Caenorhabditis elegans: one gene and its partners. Each later gene encodes a partner of the first gene's protein in a complex. Each region holds a gene or a part of one and is shown in the gene's direction. Other genes may lie near its edges.

The links. The genes of interacting proteins can lie anywhere in the genome.
Region 2: dyb-1 (region 1) and stn-1 share a complex: the UniProt entries of both Caenorhabditis elegans proteins name them as parts of the dystrophin glycoprotein complex.
Region 3: dyb-1 (region 1) and dys-1 share a complex: the UniProt entries of both Caenorhabditis elegans proteins name them as parts of the dystrophin glycoprotein complex.

Annotation. Positions count from the first base shown.
Region 1 is NC_003279.8:1,481,086-1,489,090, forward strand, and holds the start of dyb-1 (Dystrobrevin-1), read left to right. Parts: upstream 1-1,997; 5' UTR 1,998-2,020; coding exon 2,021-2,150; intron 2,151-3,633; coding exon 3,634-3,791; intron 3,792-3,837; coding exon 3,838-3,974; intron 3,975-4,768; exon of another isoform or gene 4,769-4,840; coding exon 4,841-4,926; intron 4,927-4,970; coding exon 4,971-5,166; intron 5,167-6,093; coding exon 6,094-6,325; intron 6,326-6,521; exon of another isoform or gene 6,522-6,542; intron 6,543-6,683; coding exon 6,684-7,010; intron 7,011-7,338; coding exon 7,339-7,590; intron 7,591-7,982; coding exon 7,983-8,005. UniProt on the Caenorhabditis elegans protein: Plays a role in cholinergic transmission and as a functional partner of dystrophin (dys-1), necessary for muscle maintenance. Required for localization of ctn-1 near dense bodies in muscle cells.
Region 2 is NC_003279.8:9,499,562-9,505,677, forward strand, and holds stn-1 (Syntrophin-1), read left to right. Parts: upstream 1-1,706; 5' UTR 1,707-1,760; coding exon 1,761-1,856; intron 1,857-3,314; coding exon 3,315-3,436; intron 3,437-3,877; coding exon 3,878-4,793; intron 4,794-4,841; exon of another isoform or gene 4,842-4,904; coding exon 4,905-5,000; exon of another isoform or gene 5,001-5,166; coding exon 5,167-5,259; 3' UTR 5,260-5,270; exon of another isoform or gene 5,271-5,271; coding exon of another isoform or gene 5,272-5,415; intron 5,416-5,446; 3' UTR 5,447-5,597; downstream 5,598-6,116. Other genes in the region: F30A10.9 (PIN domain-containing protein), read right to left, coding at 5,272-5,415, 5,598-5,755, 5,807-5,955, 6,010-6,075. UniProt on the Caenorhabditis elegans protein: Adapter protein that binds to and probably organizes the subcellular localization of a variety of membrane proteins. May link various receptors to the actin cytoskeleton and the dystrophin glycoprotein complex (DGC).
Region 3 is NC_003279.8:11,554,848-11,559,601, reverse strand, and holds the start of dys-1 (Dystrophin-1), read left to right. Parts: upstream 1-1,750; 5' UTR 1,751-1,809; coding exon 1,810-1,879; intron 1,880-2,814; coding exon 2,815-3,134; intron 3,135-3,299; coding exon 3,300-3,424; intron 3,425-3,999; coding exon 4,000-4,115; intron 4,116-4,754. Other genes in the region: F15D3.9 (SAM-dependent methyltransferase), read right to left, coding at 957-1,181, 1,547-1,567. UniProt on the Caenorhabditis elegans protein: Plays a role in cholinergic transmission and as a functional partner of dystrobrevin (dyb-1), necessary for muscle maintenance. Required for neuronal positioning. May play a role in the localization of slo-1 near dense bodies in the muscle.

The DNA of each region.
Region 1 (8,005 bases):
ATTTTAGCAGTTTTTTGTGTAAAATTCGTGTAGATCACGGGTAGATCACACAATTTATCTCTTATTTCGTATTTCTGTTTTTTTTTTTTTTTTTTTTTCATTTTGATCTACATCAGGGGTGGGCGGCAAACGATTTTTCCCGGCAATCGGCAAACCGGCAAATTGCCGGAATCGAAAACTTCCGGCAAATCGGCATACCAGCAGTTTGCCGATTTGCCGAATTTGTCGACAAATTAATTTGTCGCCCACCCCTGATCTACACGAATTTTAAACAAAAAAAAACATTCCGCATAAAACCGCCTCCTTTTAAAATTGTGAAAGTGGAGAAACAAACACACGTTAAGCCAAAATTTCTTTCATTTCGTGGCCTAGAAAATCCAAAAACTTAGGCCACTAATTTTCTCTTCCTCATCCACTTCGTAATATCCCTGTGTATAATGCGTATACTTTTACACCTCATTGAGTTGAGACGGATGGGGTGAGGGGTCCCAATGTTTCAGTGGGGGCCCCCTATCTCTTTTTCTCTGCACTCTCTCTCTCTCTCTCTCTCTCTCTCTCTCTCTCTCTCTCCATCTTTCTCCGTATGCTCACATTCATCCCACCGCTGCTCTCTGAGCCAATACGTCTCCCCCCCCCCCCTCCTCTCCTTTTGCACATCGATCCGTCTTGTGTCTCTCTTTCTCTAATACTCTCTATTTCTCTAAGTCTCTCTCTCTCACTCACGTTTGCCTAAATTCACTTTCTCCAGTGTTCCCTTGAGTGCTCCGAGAGCAAAAGCGTATACCACGAATTAATTTTTAATTCGTGTATTTTTGGCTCGATTTTCCCTTTTTTTTCAACATTTTTCTAAAAATTATTGCTGCAATCGCGCTTTAATGGCAATATTACCTGAAAATTCGTATGTTGTTGCAATGCAATCGCGCTCTATTGGACAAATTTTTAATCCGAATTTTGAAGTTTTCTTTAGTGGAAATCTCTATTGAAATTTTTTTATAAATTGTTTATACAAACACGCTCTAATGATAAAAAGGCTTTAAATTGTGTACTCCGCGTGGAAAAAAGCAAGTTTTTTGTTGTATTTTTTGAAAATATTTTTTTTAAAGAACTTTTTTTGAATACTCTGTGTAGTTCTCGTGGACAAGTTTGGGCCTATTTCGCTTAAAAACCTGAAACACGCGAAATTCCAGTTTCGGGGGATTTCAACTACCCGATTAGAAAAAAAACTTTTTTCACAAATTCAATTTCTGCCGAATCAAAATTCTCCGGAATTCAAGTTTCCGCGAATTTCAACCTAAAAAAATTTTAGCTCAAAAACCGTAAGGTAGTTGAAATCCACGGAAACGAAAATTCCGGCGAATCAAGTTTCCGTGGATTTCAACGCTTATTGAACAAATTTCTACAAAACGCCCCCGGGAGTTCAAATCCGCGGAATCGAAATTCCCTGGGATTTTGATTTACCGGGATTCAAGTGGTGTCAATGGGAGAGGAAATGCATTTTCTCTTACGCGCGTGGTGTCAGAGTGTCTCATTTCGGTTTGATCTACGTAGATCTACAAAAAATGAGGGAAAAGAAGAGACGCAGAGTTCTCAACTGATTTCTCATTCCCGCATTTTTTGTAGATCAAGCCGTAATGGGACAACCTGATACCACGTGACCGTTATTATTTTTCTCTCAATCCTGAGATTTAAAATCCCGCGGAGTCGAAATTCCCCAAAAATATTTTTTGTACTCCTCGTGGACAACCTCGTTGGTTCCCTGAAACATATTGGCTTAGTAATGTGCCAAGCAAATCAGCGCGCATACATGCAAAACCCATTAGGCTCCCCCCAAATGTCTTCTCTCCCAGAGTTAGACTCCGCCCACTAGGAGCCAGAGCTCCCCCAATTTTCTTTGTTTTAAACCCTACCACTTTTTAGCTCTGGCCAGCCATTTTGTGGGTGGAGTTTTGGTTTAAATTTTTTTAAAATTGATTTAAAATTTAAATTTTAAATTTCAGACACTCTGGGTTTTTCTCCTGAAATGTTGTGGTCAAATGGTGGAGGAGGACCACGTGAGCCGAGCAGTGCACCATCACCAGACCATCATCGTGCAATGCATTCTGTACCACCAATTGTGGCATCTGAAATGCAACAATTGATTGATGAAATGCGTGGGTGTTCAATTTTGCGGGAAAATTGGCTAAAAAACGCTAAAAAATTCCCGCGTTTTTGATTCTCCGGAATTTTAACTTCTATGGGATTATTTTTCGGTGGATTCGAATTTTCGGAAATTTTCAATAAATCTTTTTTCATTAGAGATTTTCAAAGAAAAAGTAGAAAAAATACCTAACTATGTAAAAAAAATTAACGGAAAATCTCCACGTTTCTAAGTCTTCGGAATTTAGATTTCCCTGGAATTAAGTACTCGGTGGATTTGAATTTACGGGATTTTTTTTCTTTAAAATTTTTTTCAAATTTATGTTCAAGTTAGCACAGCAAAAAAATTTTTTTTTTAATTCACGTTTTTGAATCTACGGAATCCAATTTCCCTGGAATTTCGCTTCCGCGTATTTGGATTTCTGAGTTTTTAAATATAAATTTTTGCAGAAAATGTGAAAATTACGTGGAAACTCAAAATTCGCCGAAAAAGGACAAAAAATCTCGAGTTTCCAATTTAGCGGAATAAAAATTCCCGGGAATTTTGTTTCCGTGGATATTAACTACCCAAATTTTTTACCATTTTTCTCAATTCCAATTTCAATTTTTTCATGGAAAAATTGGTTAAAAAACGCAAAAAATTCCCGCGTTTTTGATTCTCCGGAATTTTATTTTCTCTGGGATTTTTTTTCGGTGGATTTGAATTTTCGGAAATTTTCAAAGAAAAAGTAGAAAAAATACCTTATTATGTAAAAAATTAACGGAAAAATTTCCACGTTTCTAAGTCGTCGGAATTTAGAGTTCCCTGGAATTAAGTACTCTGTGGATTTGAATTTACTGGATTTTTTAAAACAAAATTTATACGAAATGCTCAAAGTTGATACACTCTCCAAAATGTTCATGAAATTTACAAGTTAACACAACAAAAAATGTCAAAAAACTCCGCGTTTTCAAATCCCCCATTATCGAAATTTCACGGGAATCCAGATTCCAGGGAATTTGGCATTCGGGGAATAAAATTTTCGGATTTTTTTCTATGAAAATTAGTCAGGGTCTGGATAAAATAACAAACGAGTGGAAGCAAAAATTTCGCCGCAAAAAGAACAAAAAACTCGAGTTTCCAATTCCGCGGCATAAAAATCCCGTGAATTTTGTTTCCGCGGATATCAACTACCCGACTTTTTTAAAAACATTTTTTCTCAATGCTCAATGTTGTCGAAAAAACACGGAAATACCTTCAAAAAAAATCCAAAAAAAAAACCCTAAAAATTCCGGTATCCAATTCTACAGAATCGAAAATTCCCTAAGAATTTTGTGGATATCAACTACCCGAGTTTTTTTTTGAAAATTCATGAATTTTTCCGCTACTCCTCTTGAGAAAGGGAAGCTTATAAATAATTCTTCTTTGCGAAAAAGTGCAAAAAAATTATTGGCTTTCATTGGTTAATGCCCAAAGTTCAGAAAAAAAGTTGAATCATCAATAGAGCGCATTTTCAGGTCTCCAAGATTTCGACTCCATCAGATTTGCCACGTATCGAGCCGCCTGTAAACTGCGATTTATTCAACAAAAGACGAAAGTTCATTTGGTAGATATTTGGAATATGATTGAAGCTTTTCGAGAAAACGGACTCAATGCATTACCCCTACATACTGTGGTATGTTGCAAGTGTGCTCTATTGAGAATGTGGGGGAAATTTTCAGATCAAAACGTCACGCGCCGAGCTTCTGCTAACTACAGTATTCCACAATTTGAATAAAAGACTTGTAGCGTCACAACATGTGGACACGGATGTATCGATTTCTTTGCTACTCGCGTTTTTGTTAGGTGCTTATGATAAGTGAGTTTTGGACTCCTCTCGGACAAAAAACTCACGCTTCTGAATCCCCGGAACCCAGATTCCCCAGGAATTTAGATTCGGCAAATTCGAAATTCTAAGAATTTTTTCTTGTGTTACTGCGTGAAAACTGTGTATTTAGAATTCCAATTTTTACTGCAAAAAATAACGAAAAATATTCGGGTTTTCGTGTCTCCAGAATCTAGATTCCCTAAGAATTTTGATTCCGCGTATTGGAATCTACGGGATTCAATCTACACATGTTCTGTAAATAACAGAAATTTTGGTAATATATGAAAAAATTTAAAATCCTAAAACTGAAAGAAAATTTCCGGTTTTCGGATCCGCGGAATTTCACATTCCACCGGAATTTGGTTCCCACAGATTTCAACTATCCGAAATTTTTTCTGTTTTTTTTTGTTTTCAGCATAATGTTTTGATTTTTCAAAAATGAAAATTGACTGAAAGAGCAGAAAAAATCTCAGGGTTTCATATCTCTGGAATTAAAATTTCCCAGTGAATTTTTATTCATATAAGGACACTTTGCAAAAAAATTTTTTTTTGATAAAGTCACGGATTTCTGGCTTCCCTCATAAATTGAAATGGAAGAGTTTTTGCCGAACTAGGCCAGTAGATTTACGGCGCGTTGCGTGTCGCGTCGCGGCTCGATTTTAGTTGTAAAACTAAATGTATTTGTCCGTGTGGAGTACACGACTTTCCCGTCCGGCAGGCGATTATCAATGGAGCGCGAAAAATTCAATGAGGAAGGCCAAAACCCCGTGCGCAGTTAGGCTGTAATTCTCACAACGACACTCCGATATTCCGCTACCTAGAAGTGACGTCACACGCTTCAAAAGCCAATTTTTCAGACAAAATACCGGACGTTTGACGGTTTTTTCAATAAAAGTCGCGTTGGCAACACTCTGCGCTGGAAAATTGGTGGACAAGCTGAGATGTGAGTTGCGCTTGCGAATTTCAAAAAAAAATCTGAAATTTCAGACATTTTCTCTCAAATCGCTGATTCGAATGGATTAATGGATCATATTAAATTTACTGATTTTTTGCAACAAATCCTCTCCCTAACCACTGCAGTTTTCGAAGCACCGACGTTTGGATTTTCCGAAAACGCGGTTAATCAGTGCTTTCATAAGGATGAGAAAGTATCTTTGAATGTGTTTCTGGACACTTTTTTGAGGTAGATATCAATTTTGGAAATAAATAAAAAAATAGATTTTAGAAAAAGTTTTGAAAAAGTTTTGAAAAAATTAACCTTTTACACAAAACTACGTTAGCATGTGGTGCCAGGTTGTCCAATTACGGTTTGATCTACAAAAAATGCGGGAATTTTTTCGCCCAAAAAATGTGACGTCAGCACGTTCTTAATCATGTGAAATCAGTTGAGAACTCTACGTCTCTTCTCCCGCATTTTTTGTAGATCTACGTAGATCACGCCGAAATGAGACACTCTGACACCACGCGCGAAAGAGAAAATGCATTTCCTCTCCCATCGGGGGGAAAACCAGTCCCTCAACTCACCCAGAATAATAATTTAGGTGTCTTGGAAGTTCTGAAACACCTAACATTTTGAAAAATTAGAAAAAATAATAGACGTAGGGCTGAAGTCCTCCCGCGGCCACGTAAGGCATCCCCGTGGCCTAGGATTTTCAGAGCGGTGTAACTTTTGAAAAACTGTAAAAATTTTTTTTTAATTCTGCAATAATTGTATCTATAACTTATTCAATGAAACCAAATCAAAAAATCGAATTTTTCTTTTCATGGGGTCACGGGTCCCCACGCCGCCACCGAAGTCCTCGCCGTGGCCTAGAAACTTTCAAACAGTGCATCCCTAAAGCCACTGCGCCGATTTTCTTGAAACTTTATCAGAACACTTTATATAACAATTTCTATCAAATTATCAAATAAAATCGAATTTTAGTTGTCATGGGGTCACGGGTCCCCCCCCCCCCCCCACGGGGTGACCGAAGTTCTCACCGTGGCCTAGAATCTTCAAAATGGTGTAACTCTATAGCCACTGCGTTAATTTTCTTGAAAATTTATCAACCAACACTTTGAAACCTGTTCTGTCAAATTATCAAAAAATCATACAAAATTAATATTCCAGCGATCCATGTCCCCCATGCATAATGTGGCTCCCCTTGCTACATCGAATGGCGTCTGTGAGCAACGTGTACCATCCGGTGGTGTGTGATGCGTGTCAAGTCAGAAGTTTCACAGGATTTCGGTATAAATGTCAGCGATGCGCCAATTATCAGTTGTGTCAAAGCTGTTTTTGGCGGGGAAGGACGAGTCAAAATCATTCAAATGAGCACGAGATGAAAGAATATTCCAGCTATGTGAGTTTTTTGAAAAATCGATTTTCCACGTGGAGTACACGAAAATGTATCTATAAAGCGCGCGATAAAATTATTGATTTTCCGCCGGCGATGAAGAATCGATAAAATTATTGATTTTCCGCCGGCAATCAAAAAAATCGATAAAGTTATCGATTTTCATTCGACAAAAACGATTAGTTAACAGAGAAATTATCAATTGCTGGACAACAAACAATCAATAAAAATGTAGATTTTCCGCCGGCAATCAAAAATCGATGAAATTATTGATTTTCCGCCGGGCAAAAAAAAAATCGATAAAATTATGGAAAAAAGCGTTCTCAACTCCAAAATCAATAAATCAATAACTTAGTAATTTCAGAAATCGCCGACAAAACAGCTCGTACACTCAATTCACAAAAGTCTCCAATGTATTCCTGCCACGTCAACCGTCGGCGATGCAAACATCGATATTTTTAACGCAAAAATCGGTGGCCCGGTCAGCAGCAAACCTGCTCGACCGCTAAACCTGAACAACATCGTCCCGGCGACACCGACGACGATCCGCCGGCAACACGCTGCCACGTCATCAGCGGACTGGCCGACGTCACCGGTACTTCTGCCGGGACAGGCGTCGCATGGAGGAGTTATTGATGATGAGCATAAGCTTATTGCGAGATATGCAGCAAAGTTGTCGGGAAGGGCTGATGTGAGTTTTTAATCGAAAAAAATCAGGAAAAAATCAATAAAAATCTTGATTTCCCGCCGGCAATAAAAATCGATAAAAATCTTGATTTTCCGCCGGCAATAAAAAAAATCGATAAACATCTTGATTTTCCGACGGCAAACAAAAAAAATCAATAAAATTATTGATTTTCCGCCGGCGATAAAATTCGATTAAATTATTGATTTTCCGCCGGCAATCAAAAAAATCGATAAAATTATTGATTTTCCGCCGGCGGCAGAAAGTCAAATTATTGATTTAATAAAATTTGATCGATTATCGATTTTTCTTTTTAAAAATCAATAAATTGCAGTATCCCCTATCAAACGGTCGAAGTATGAATAGTTCAATGGTCGGAGACGAACGGACCCTTATTGCTCAACTGGAAGAAGAAAATTCAATGATGGTACGGGAAATGGCTCGACTGGAGAGCCAAACAACTTCCGATGACGGGCTCGCCGGGCTCCGCGACCGGAAAATGGAATTGGAAGAGAAAATGTTTGAAATGCAACAGAGGAGGAGAGAATTAATGATGCAATTGGAGCATTTAATGGCTCAGTTGAATGTAGGTCATACCTACTGTGGCTAACGCGCTCTATAGATAAACAATGTAAAAATCGATAATTTTGCAGAATTCAAAAACAATCGTTATATTTTCCTCCAAATTTAGAAAAAATACTTGATAATTTTCAAAAAATTCGAAAAATCGATAATTTTTATATTTTAAGAAAACAAAGTTTTTGGAGTTTTTGATTTTCCGCCGGAGATAAAATCGATAAAATTATTGATTTTCCGCCGGCGATAAAAACCGATAAAATGTGTAAACCTGTCGATTTTTTAAGCTTCAGTAAAAATCAAAAATTCAATATCGGCTTTTCTGAAAAATTCAACCTTCAAAAAATCAATAAAATTAAATTATCGATTTTTTGATTTCAAAACAACAAAAACCTTTTCCAGACGGGACCCCAACCATCAGGAGG
Region 2 (6,116 bases), 8.0 Mb from region 1:
GTCCGTGGGGAGGGGAGGGAAGCTAATCCAGTTTTAGTTTCAGATTCTTCTGTTTTTGGTTTTAGTGCTCCAGATTTGTCAGCTTGTGATTCTGTTGGTTCTCGATCTGCTCGTGAAGTCGTCTCGTCGGTTGCCGGCAATGCTCGAAATGCTACTTGTGCAAATATAACTACGATTCATGTTACGGAGAGCAAGAGTTCGTTGAAGAAAAGCCACAGAAGACGTCGCCGTGTGGCAAAGAGTCGCCAATCATATACTTCTGGAAGTTCGCCAATCAAAGAAACCCATCTGGACCCCCTGCTGGAATCCGATGTTGCGAGTGACGGCGAGCGTTTCCAACCCGGCATCCTCCTGTGTCATTCTCTTCGACAGAGTCACCCACGACAAGTTGTGCGAGGATCAGCCCCAAACACTGATCATGCCTCCACTCGCCGCAGAGGTCGATATACCGCCTCTGGTCGTGATGCCCCTAGCCCAGGCATAATTTCTGGCTTTTTGTCATATAAGAGGGGAGATGTTGTGGACGGAACGTAAACCTGAACTTTATACAGACGTGACCTTTGGGTCATCATGAACTTATCGCGTAAGCGACCTCTCTTTATAATTCATTACTTCTTACACTTTCTTGTAATAAACTACTTCTCTCCTTGTCTCTCGCTCAATACACAACAAAGCTCAACGTCAAAAAATTGAGAAACAATAACTGGTGGAGGGGAGGGAGGGAAAAAGAAATCAGATACGGTCAATGATCTAAATGTTTGAAGAAAGATCAAGGAACAAGATTCTAAAATTATTCAATTTTTTCTCAAGTTTTTCAGAATTGTTTGACACAGAATAGAATAGCTTTTGGAAGAAAAAACATTGATGGATTTTCAGATGGATTTTCTATAGATTTTTAAAGATTGCATTTCTGCTGGGGTACTGTAGTTAGAGAGCTAAAGTATCTAGAGCAGCAATTGAAAATTAAATTTCATCACGAAAAACAGAACACCTAATAGTAATTTCAATTTATTTCGAAAATAGGAATTAAATTGGATAATATTTAACTTTCACTGTATAAAAAAAGTTGTAAAAGGGAATACTTCTGATTAATGTAGTAATTGCAATTGGTTGTAATATATCGTACGACACAGAAAACTACAACTACAACCAAATGAGAAAGAAAATAAAGAAAAGAATAAAGGATCAACTTGCTTCTTCTCTCTTCAACAATACAATTGCATGTGTTCGTCACGTAGTGTGTAAGTGTTCGTCTCGTGGCGGGAAGCCAACGGGATTCTTCGCCCAACACACAATCATAACCGATATAAATTCGAGGCACCAAGCTGAGAGTCAGATGGAAAAAGAAAGAGTGAGATGTAGAGAAAGAAGCGAGACTCGGAGTGCGCGGTAGAGTTCATCAGAGAGCATGTTAGGCAGAAGAGGGAGCAGGAGTGCCGTCGCACTAGCTCTCCGGCTTCATCCGACGGAGAAGAGAGCAGTTGAGAGAAGAAGAAAAACGAGGGGAAATAGAAGAGAGAGGACTCCTCTGCTGCTCCCACAGCCCAAATATTCTATTATTGCCCCTTTTCTTTCTGTTTCTTTGCTTCTTAGCATCTTTCTCTTCTGGTTTTTTTTCTCGCTTTCCTTCATTCCGCTACAAATCCTCCCGAATTTGAATTCAAATTTTTGGCATAAATTGGTATATGCAATATTCAACTTTACAGAGTACAATCGGCTCAATTTCGTAGTATTGCTCCGATTAGATCGGCGTCGTTTCGATGGCCGCCGTTCGATCCGGCCTGGTCGACATTTTTGTTCAGGGACAATGGCATCGTGTATTGGCTACTCTCGATCCAACTGCTATCACATTACAAGTAATTTTTTAATGATAAAATATTCCGAAAACTAGAAAACCACTGGAAATTATTGTAAAACAACTCATTTTTCGCGAAATTCTAAAAATAAATTGGATGGTTTCTAAAAACGAACAAAAATCTATATTTGAAACAATTATTGTTAAATAATTTAAATTTCGGTATAATAAAATATCATTCATTTTTCTAATGTGGAATGATACAAGTTGCTGAAAAATAGTGGTCGTTCTTATTAATACCAAAATGCGAAATTTTGCTATTCAAGACAAAAGAATACGGTACCGTGTCTCAACACGATCGAGCACGGGTTTCTGGCTCGACCCCTCGGTGTATTTTGTGCAAACACCGTCACGCGCAAATGCATACACTTTTTCAACGCGCTGCGTGAAAATTCCTCTTGCGATTTCAAAAAAATTTTCCCGCCATTTCAGCGTCCGATGGAGCGCGGGGTCGAGCCAGAACCTCGTATCGAGCAGTTATAAATAAATTTGTCGGAAAAGAATGTGCGCCTTTATGAAGTACAGTAGGCTCTAATCCTCACTATTTCGCAGACTGTTTCGTTTTAGAAAAAGCAGCTGCTGGAGATTGGGTCTGGAGATTACTGTAGGTTTTAAAGGCGCACACACATTTTTCACACCTTTAATCCTTTAATCTTTTTGTAAGTTTTCAGTCGTGTCGAGACCAGGCACCGTATTCTGGCGTCATAAAACATTTATTTTTTTACGAAATTACGTCGAACATAAGTTTTCTGATGCCCACGAACGAAATATATCATCTGAAGAGATCCATCTATGGAAACCAGAAACGGGAATGGGATCATATTACAAATAGTCTATGCTTCTTCTTCTTCTTTTCCTTTCGCCACATTTTGGCTCATTTTTCAAAAAAGGAGGCGAGTTGGCTATGAAAACTTATTAGTCGTTCTTGCTAGAAGAAAAAAGAAAGAATGGAATGAGGCTACTTAGAGATGAAGTTTGTATATGATACGACTTAAAAGGAGAAAACGGATGGAGAAAGGTATACTGTGACTACAATAATTATCTTCTTGGAGTCTATATGAACTCTTCGTTCCGACATATATTCTCAAGTATTAAAATGTGTATAACTCTTTTGCTTTCTTATCTTTCTCATCTCTGGTATGACAGTCCAACTGAAATTTTGGGAAAAGACAAAGAAAATATACCATTGCTTGTCAAAAAAGAAGTCGTCATGTCATCTACTCCCCCTTCTCCAAGTATTCCGTCAATCGAAGCTCCGGCTTTTGACAAATTGGTATGCCAGCTTGCATGATTTCATTTTACTCAGTCTCCTCCAAAAATTACATTAGCATGTGTGAATTTGTTTGAAATTGTTTAAAATTTGGTCGGGAAACGTGGAAGGGGATATTTATGAGCAAGGGAAGTGAAATCCAAAGAGAAATGGGTTCAAGCTGTGATGAATAAATATACTATTTTTCAGACAATGGAGCAGAATGAGGCTGAAGCAGAGAAACGGACAGTTCGAGTTGTGAAATATGATGGAAATGGATTAGGAATTTCAATTAAGGGAGGCAGAGACAACAACATGCCTATTGTGATCAGGTATGAATGAACTTGCGGAGATTTATACATCTCGTGTGCCATTTCGTGATTTTACGTCAATTTTGAAATTTTGATCTATGATAAATAATTTTTAGTTTTAATGACAAGGGCAATTCTCTAGAGAAAATTTTTATAATAACTGAAAAATGGAAGAATGGACTAGCAAACCTCGTACACAATCGTGTGTCGATTTACTCAGCGTGTGTACTCCCCGTGGAGAAGCATTTAATTTTTTCAGAAGATTTTACAGTTTTCGGTCAAAAACAGAAAGTATTTCCCGAATTATCCAAAATTAGGAATTTAAGGCGATAACTGTGAAATTGTTTGCAAAAATGTACACTTCTCCTCGGGCAGTACACACGATACGTAAATCGACACTTTTTTTTCTGAAATAGAATGTTTAATTTAGCAATTAAAGAACAAAATTAATTTCGATTGTAGCAAAATCTTCAAAGGAATGGCAGCGGATCAGGCTGGAGAACTATTTCTTGATGACGTCATTATCTCTGTGAATGGAGAAAACCTTCTCGATGCTTCACACGAAGAAGCTGTAAGAGCATTGAAACGAGCTGGACGGGTTGTTGACTTGCAAGTACAGTATAGAAGAGAGGATATGATGCATCGGGAAAATATTGTGGAAAATGTTGAATGGGATGATGATATTCGGGAACGAGTTAGAACAATTGGTTTAAAGCTTGCATATGTGGCAAGAGCTGGAATAGATGCAGATGCAGAAGGTAGAATTCTAGAAATGAGAAGTCCATCAGGAAGGTATTCCCTAGCAATGAGATGTTCAAGTAGTGAAGAAGCAGATGGATGGTTTGAAGCTTTACATGCCTGTACCACGTGTCTTCTGACTCAGGCACTGGCTCAAGTCAATATAATGCTCGGTAACAACCCCCAAGTGAGACATATGGGTTGGATTGCAGAACAAGTATCAGAAAATGGAATTTCAATGTGGAAACCTAAATTTATGACGCTTACGAATAGTGAGATCTTGTTCTATGAAGCTGTTCCACAGCTGAAAGCAGAATGGGCAGAGCCAAGACTAGTACGTCCTCTGGTGGCAACAAGAGTCGTTCAGACAAGTTCTCGAACTGCGCCAGTAATTAAAGGTCTCACTGATGTGATCTCTTTCCGTATGAGAACTGGAACTCAACAAGGTGTTCGGACACATACGATCCGGGTAGAAACTCATGCAGAACTGGCACGATGGGTTCGTGCAGTAGTGATCGGTGGATATGAAGCATGTCTTTCTACATCTCAAGTCTCTGCTCCTTGTCTTTGGCGAGGCGAATCATGCGAACTAATAGTTAATCTAGACAATGGAATATCATTACTTTCGTCGACTGGAGAGGTGAGCTCATTGGAATAATTTAGCAATAAGAAAGTGATAAACGTTTTCTAGATTAAAACAAAGATTTATAACATTTAGAGAAGCTACATTTTCTTAAAGCTTACAATTCAGGTACTGTGGCAACATTCGTTTGAAACGATTCGCGCCACCGGCGATGATGGTGGTCGTTTTCTCTGGGTCGATTTTGGACCACCACATGGTGAACAGGTAAAAATGGATTTTATTTTAACCTTAATTTCATACTTATAGAAAAAAAACGGATTTTTTTTGTGTAAAGTTTTTGAATAAAAAAAAGGATAGGCAACAAAACAATAAAAGCAGATCAACAAGTAATATTCAAAACAAAAGAAGCATAAATGAATGAAAAATTTAGGAATTGGATTTGCTAAATTCCGCAAAGCCAGTCGTGTTCATTCTTCATTCATTTCTCGCCACCAAGGTGTATCGATTAGGATTGTACGCGTGAAGCATCAAAAGGTTAGTTCATTGGAGCTCCATATGCATCAGGCATTCGCTCAATGGAGAATCTGTGATTGACAATGTACATGATCGGAACTCCTGGGATCTTTCGGATGCGGCGCTTCAGATCACGATCACAAGTGGCCACAATATAGCATTTATGCTGAAAATTATATTATTTTTTTCATTTTCAGATTCGTTATTTGTTCAAGTTTGCCAAACAAAAAGACTGCAGCAATACCACATTCCGTCTCCTGCCTCTTCTCGTCATAATAGATTTTATTCGTTTAAGATTTGTTAGATTTTATTAAATGAAAAACAATGAAAAATTATGAATAAACGAACCTGTGTAACTCTTTGAACCAAACAATCATCAGCATATGTTCCTTTGTGCTCACACTTCAGTCTCTGCACACGTGGATCTTTCAGAACTTTCAGAGCAATTTTGAATCTTCTCACTTTTTCCAATTCAGCCAATACACAGTCAGTTGCGTACACAATAGCTGAATTATTGTGATAAAATACAAGAAAACGAAAGAAAGTGTATGACTCACTTTTCGCGAACAGACAATCCATGAATCCTTGAAACATGTCAATGCGATTTTTGACGGCGAAATTCACAAAATTGGTATCGACAATAACGTGAAATGGTGGACCCAGCTGTGTATTGTATTTCATAAACATAGCGGATGAGATTTTTGGACTGAAATTATGAATTATTATTGTCTGGACACATATTCGTACGAATAAAACTTACGCACGGACCAATTTGAGTTCTTGTTCATCTACTTTCGGTGTTCTAATGACTCTTTGTTCTTCTTTTCTGAAATATTGCGTTTTAAATCAAGGTTATTCGATAAAATT
Region 3 (4,754 bases), about 10 Mb from region 1:
TGTCCACCCGTTCCATTTAACAACCCAATTCTCAAATGTCCCCTCTAAAATTTTGATAGTAGAGCTCGCGGAGCACATCAGCAAAAGTAGCAGCTCCCAGGAAATGTCCGAATCATCATCAAATGCCGTTGGGGTATGTCCAAGAGGATGGTGCATTGTAACAATTGACTGACGACGGCAGCTGACGGATTGAGGGGTCCCCTCGTGCACACACGGGAATGCTCCGGGAGCACACACACACACTTTTCCATTACTATTTCCTACGAGAGTGTGGTAGACGTGCCGTTATTATTTTTTTGTGTTTTTGAGGTTAAAAATTGCTTCCAAGTCTGTTAAAAATATATTTGATGGCCTAGTTTTTGTTTTCTAGGCAGCCGAACTTGAATTTAAAAGCTTGACATTTTTGGTATGGTGGCTTAGAATTTCGAAAATTCAAGTTGCTTTCTTTTAACTTAAAATTAAAACATTTTTTGCGAATTTGAATTAGATGGCCTAGGATTTTCTGGAATGTTTAATTGAAAGATTTGGTTAGGCCACACAATTTCAGTTGCTGGCCTAGTTTTGATGTTCTAGGCCACCAATTTTTCTTTCAACTTTTCCGATGAATTTCACACACGTTCCAAACTTTCAGTAGTCACACTCATATTTTGCCTCATCTTTTTCATGGCCTAACTTTTCGATTTCGTGGCCTAGAACTTTGTCCATGAAAAAGTTTAGGCCACATGCTTTTTTTAAAAATATATCCCTTTTTATTGAAATGATTTTAAAAAAGTTTTTGTTAGACCCAAGATGATTGAGCCAAATTAGAGAAATTTGAAGTTGGTGGCCTAGAAAATTTCTAGACTATCAACTTCACAAGGCTCTAACTTGGCTGAAAATTATCATTTTCAGTTTTTTCAAGCCATATTTTTTGTTGAATTTTTGTATTTTCCTTCAAAATTTTTATTTTGAAAAAATCAATAATTAGAGATATCAAATGCATATTCCGATTGTTTCGCACAAATCTCATAGTCATTTGCACAACGAAAAGGAATTTGCGCAAATTCCGTCAAATCATGCTCCAAATTGTGCTCTTTTTCTGCTCCAAAACTGTGATCCATCCAATCGGATAAAATGCTTCTGTCCGACCCGTCGTTCGCACAATGCGTCCAAATTGTCTTCGCAGAACTGGCTTCGGTGGCCTAGAAATTCAAATTTTCTTGTGTTGCTGGCCTAGGATTGGTTCTCTAGGCCACTAAAATCAGCTTGATTTTTTTTTAAATGTTGATGTGTCACGTTAAATTTAACATGAATAGAGCTTCACCCATTTTGGTTTTTTTTTCGTTGGTGGCCTATGTTTTTCTAGGCCACCAACTTTAAATTTTAAATCAATATATTGTCAAATTAAAGGGTTTACTCACAATTAGCTCTTCACAAAAATCTACTTGAAAAACTCGAATTGGTCGCCTAGAAAACTAAAACTAGGCCACCAATATTTCGTTTTTAAATTTTTCTTCAAATTTTCTAAATTTTTTGAAATTAGAAAAACTAAAATAGAAAAACTTACACTTTTGTCACTGTTACTCATTTTTAGCAATATTTTTTTCTTTGAATTCTTTGAATTTTTTTTTAGAAATAAAAAATTTTCCAGAAAATTTCGTTCTTTTTTCGTAACTTTTATTTTTTGGAAAACTTCTAGAATAACCCCACGTTTTTTAAAAATAATTTTATATTCTACAACTTAATTTTTTTTTCTAATAAAAATCCCAATTTCAGATGCCAATTGGTGTATAGAATAGGCGAAAACGAACGAAAAAGTGCAACAACACCATGTTATTCTCGGGCGCCTCGACTGCGAAACCGAAAAAAGACGAGAAAAAGGACAAGAAAAGTGATCGCGGTGAGTTTTTTGAAAAATTTTTAAGACAAAAAAAAAAAGAAAAATCCCCGAAAAATGGCATAGAAATTTACCTTTTTTGATTTTCCAGGCCACCAACATAGTTTTCAGCATACATTTATTTTATATTTGTTTCTGTCTTACCGAGACCTTCAATTTGACAGCCATCATGCCTAGGATCCGACTATTTTGAGTTGGTGGCCTAACTTTTCAAGCCGTGACCGAGAAAATGCATTTGGGCCTGGACTTTAGACGCTCAGATTTTTGAAATGTTCTTAGTTTTTATTCCTTGTTAGGAGTATTCAAAAATTCAAAAATTGAATTTCAAATAGGTTCTGGGAGTTTTAAGTTGTTGGTGGCCGAGGAATTTCTAGGCGACCAATTTTAAATTTTGCCAGTAAGATAAAATTTGTAGAATTTTAAAGTGAAACAGTAATATTGTGTGCTTCTTAAAATTTAATTTCATAAAATTTAGCAATTTCTAAAAAAGTAAAAATTCTAGGCCACCAACTGAAAAGTTAGGCCATGGAATAAAATTTCCAAAGTATGGCAATATTGGTGTCATGTGAAAGCTATGAACGTGCAGAAGTCAGTGAAAAGCATTGTAATAATGAAAAATTATTTTTGTGGCCTAGAAAAAGCAAACCTAGGCCAGCGAGTCAAATTGGGTGGCCTGAATTTGGATTTCTAGGCCACTAGTTAACAAATGCCATTTTTCTAGCAAACTTCTTGAAGAGAACTAACTGTTGCCACCAATACTCTGTTGAACATATTTTATGCTGATCTAGAAATTTTGCTGGCCTAGAAATCTAAAACTAGGCCACCAAACTGTAAATCTGCTCAAAATTCATATTTTTCGATTTTTCAAAAACCGATTTGTAGAGTTTTTGACGGAAAATTTGAATTTGAACGTTAAAAGCTATGAATAAAATTTTCAGACCCAAAAAATGAGCTCCAAGAGTGGGTATTCGTGCGCTGGGCCAATCACCTGCTCGGAACAGAACGTCTAACCGATTACAAAAGCCTTCAAGATGGTTCAAACGCGATTTTTGTCTACCAAGCAATTATTGGACAGACTATGGCTGTACTGGGTAATCCATCCGACGATTGGCCTAATGTTTTGCAAAATATCGGGGATTCCAAGACGAATCCGCAGGAAGTTATGGAAGGGCAGCAGAAAGCGGTGCTCTCAGCCTGGTGGCAGCTTGTTCAGTTTTTCTGGAAAAATAATGCACCCGTGCAGTTACGGGAGGAAAAGGTGAGTTTTTTGAGTGTAAAATCAAGTGGAAATCTTTAAAATTGATAAAGTTACGGGGGTTTGAAAAATTAAAAAATAAATAAAAAATTTTGAAAAAAAAAATTTCGAAAATTTTTTTTAAAATTTTTTTCCTAGAATTTTTTCTATTAAATTTTCAAATTTCAGCTCTCCGAAGCCATCAAACAATGGTGCATTGAAGTCATGAAATCATACGAAGAAATTGACGTCTACGACTTTACATCTTCCTTCCGGGACGGCCATGCCTTCAATTACCTCATACATTCTTATGAGTAAGGGTTTTTCATTAGAAATTAATTTATTGATAATCAGTTTTTCAAGAGTTTCTAGATTCCATGAAACATGGTTTTATTCGAAAAAAAATTCAAAAATTTCAAAAAAAAAACACATTTTTTTGGATTTTTTCAATTCTAAATTTTCCAAAACAACTTTTAATCTTATTTTTTTTTAATTCAATATCAAATTTAAATTCAACATTTCATTACAGTCTATTTGACACCCATAATGCCTAGGCTCCGAAATGTTCAAGCTGGTGGCCTAACTTTTCACTACATGGCCTAGAAAACTCACTGGGACTTCAAATTTGGAAAACATAGGCCCTGGAATTTAATATTTTAAAGTATAGCAATATGGGTGTCATTTGAAAGGTTTCGGCGTGTAGAACTCGAGAACCCCATCAAAAAGAATTTTAGAGAGGGTCTCGCCGCGAAAACTACAGTACCCATGTGATTTTCGTGGCGGGATTCAACTTTTTCCAAAACTAATCATGATTATACTCAAATGAAAGCTCTCAGTGCGACAAACACAGTTAATATAGTTTCGAGCCCGAAATCCTGAACATTTTCAGCCGAAAACTGATAAACCTCACAAAAACCGCCGAAATGAGTGCCATCGACAGGATTGAAAACGCTTTTGCTGTCGCTGAAAAGACATGGAATGTGCCAAGGCTTCTGAATCCAAAAGGTTACTATTTCTAACCAAAAAAAAAATCGAATTCTACGCTGAAAAACCACGAAAAAACTGTTTTGGGCAAAGTGGCTTAGTGGAGAATAGGTGCACAGCTACGGAAAAACATACCAGGGTTCGACCCCCCGCTGCGGTCAAAATTTTTGTTTCTCAATTTTGAAAGTTTTTGAAAATTTTTGAAATCATTCACTTTTTATTTTATTTGAAAATGAAGATTTTGAGCCGAGTTACAGCAGTTTTACGCCTAGGCACAAGATTGACTACCTGACTGCCTAGTAGGTTTTAAAAAACTGATAGGCAAGCGTGTAGGCAGGCAGGCAGTGATGAAGACTTTCCTTCCTACAAGAACTGTCAACACTGAATTATCTATTTTCCAGTAATTCACTTGAGTTAGAGCTTCAATGCGGTAAGTCAAAATGGGTTATAAGTAGGCGCGAAGGCAAGTAGGTAGGTATTACGGGACAATGAGATCATGAGAATGCCTACTTTTCTGGCGGCAAATATCTCGTAGCGAAGGGACCGGCGTCTCTCTTCGCCATATGCTCTCTCGCTGCCGCGGCCTGTCAATATTTTCGCGCCAGTAAATAGGCATTCATCTCATGGTCCCGTAATAGGTAGGTAGGCACAAGATAGGTA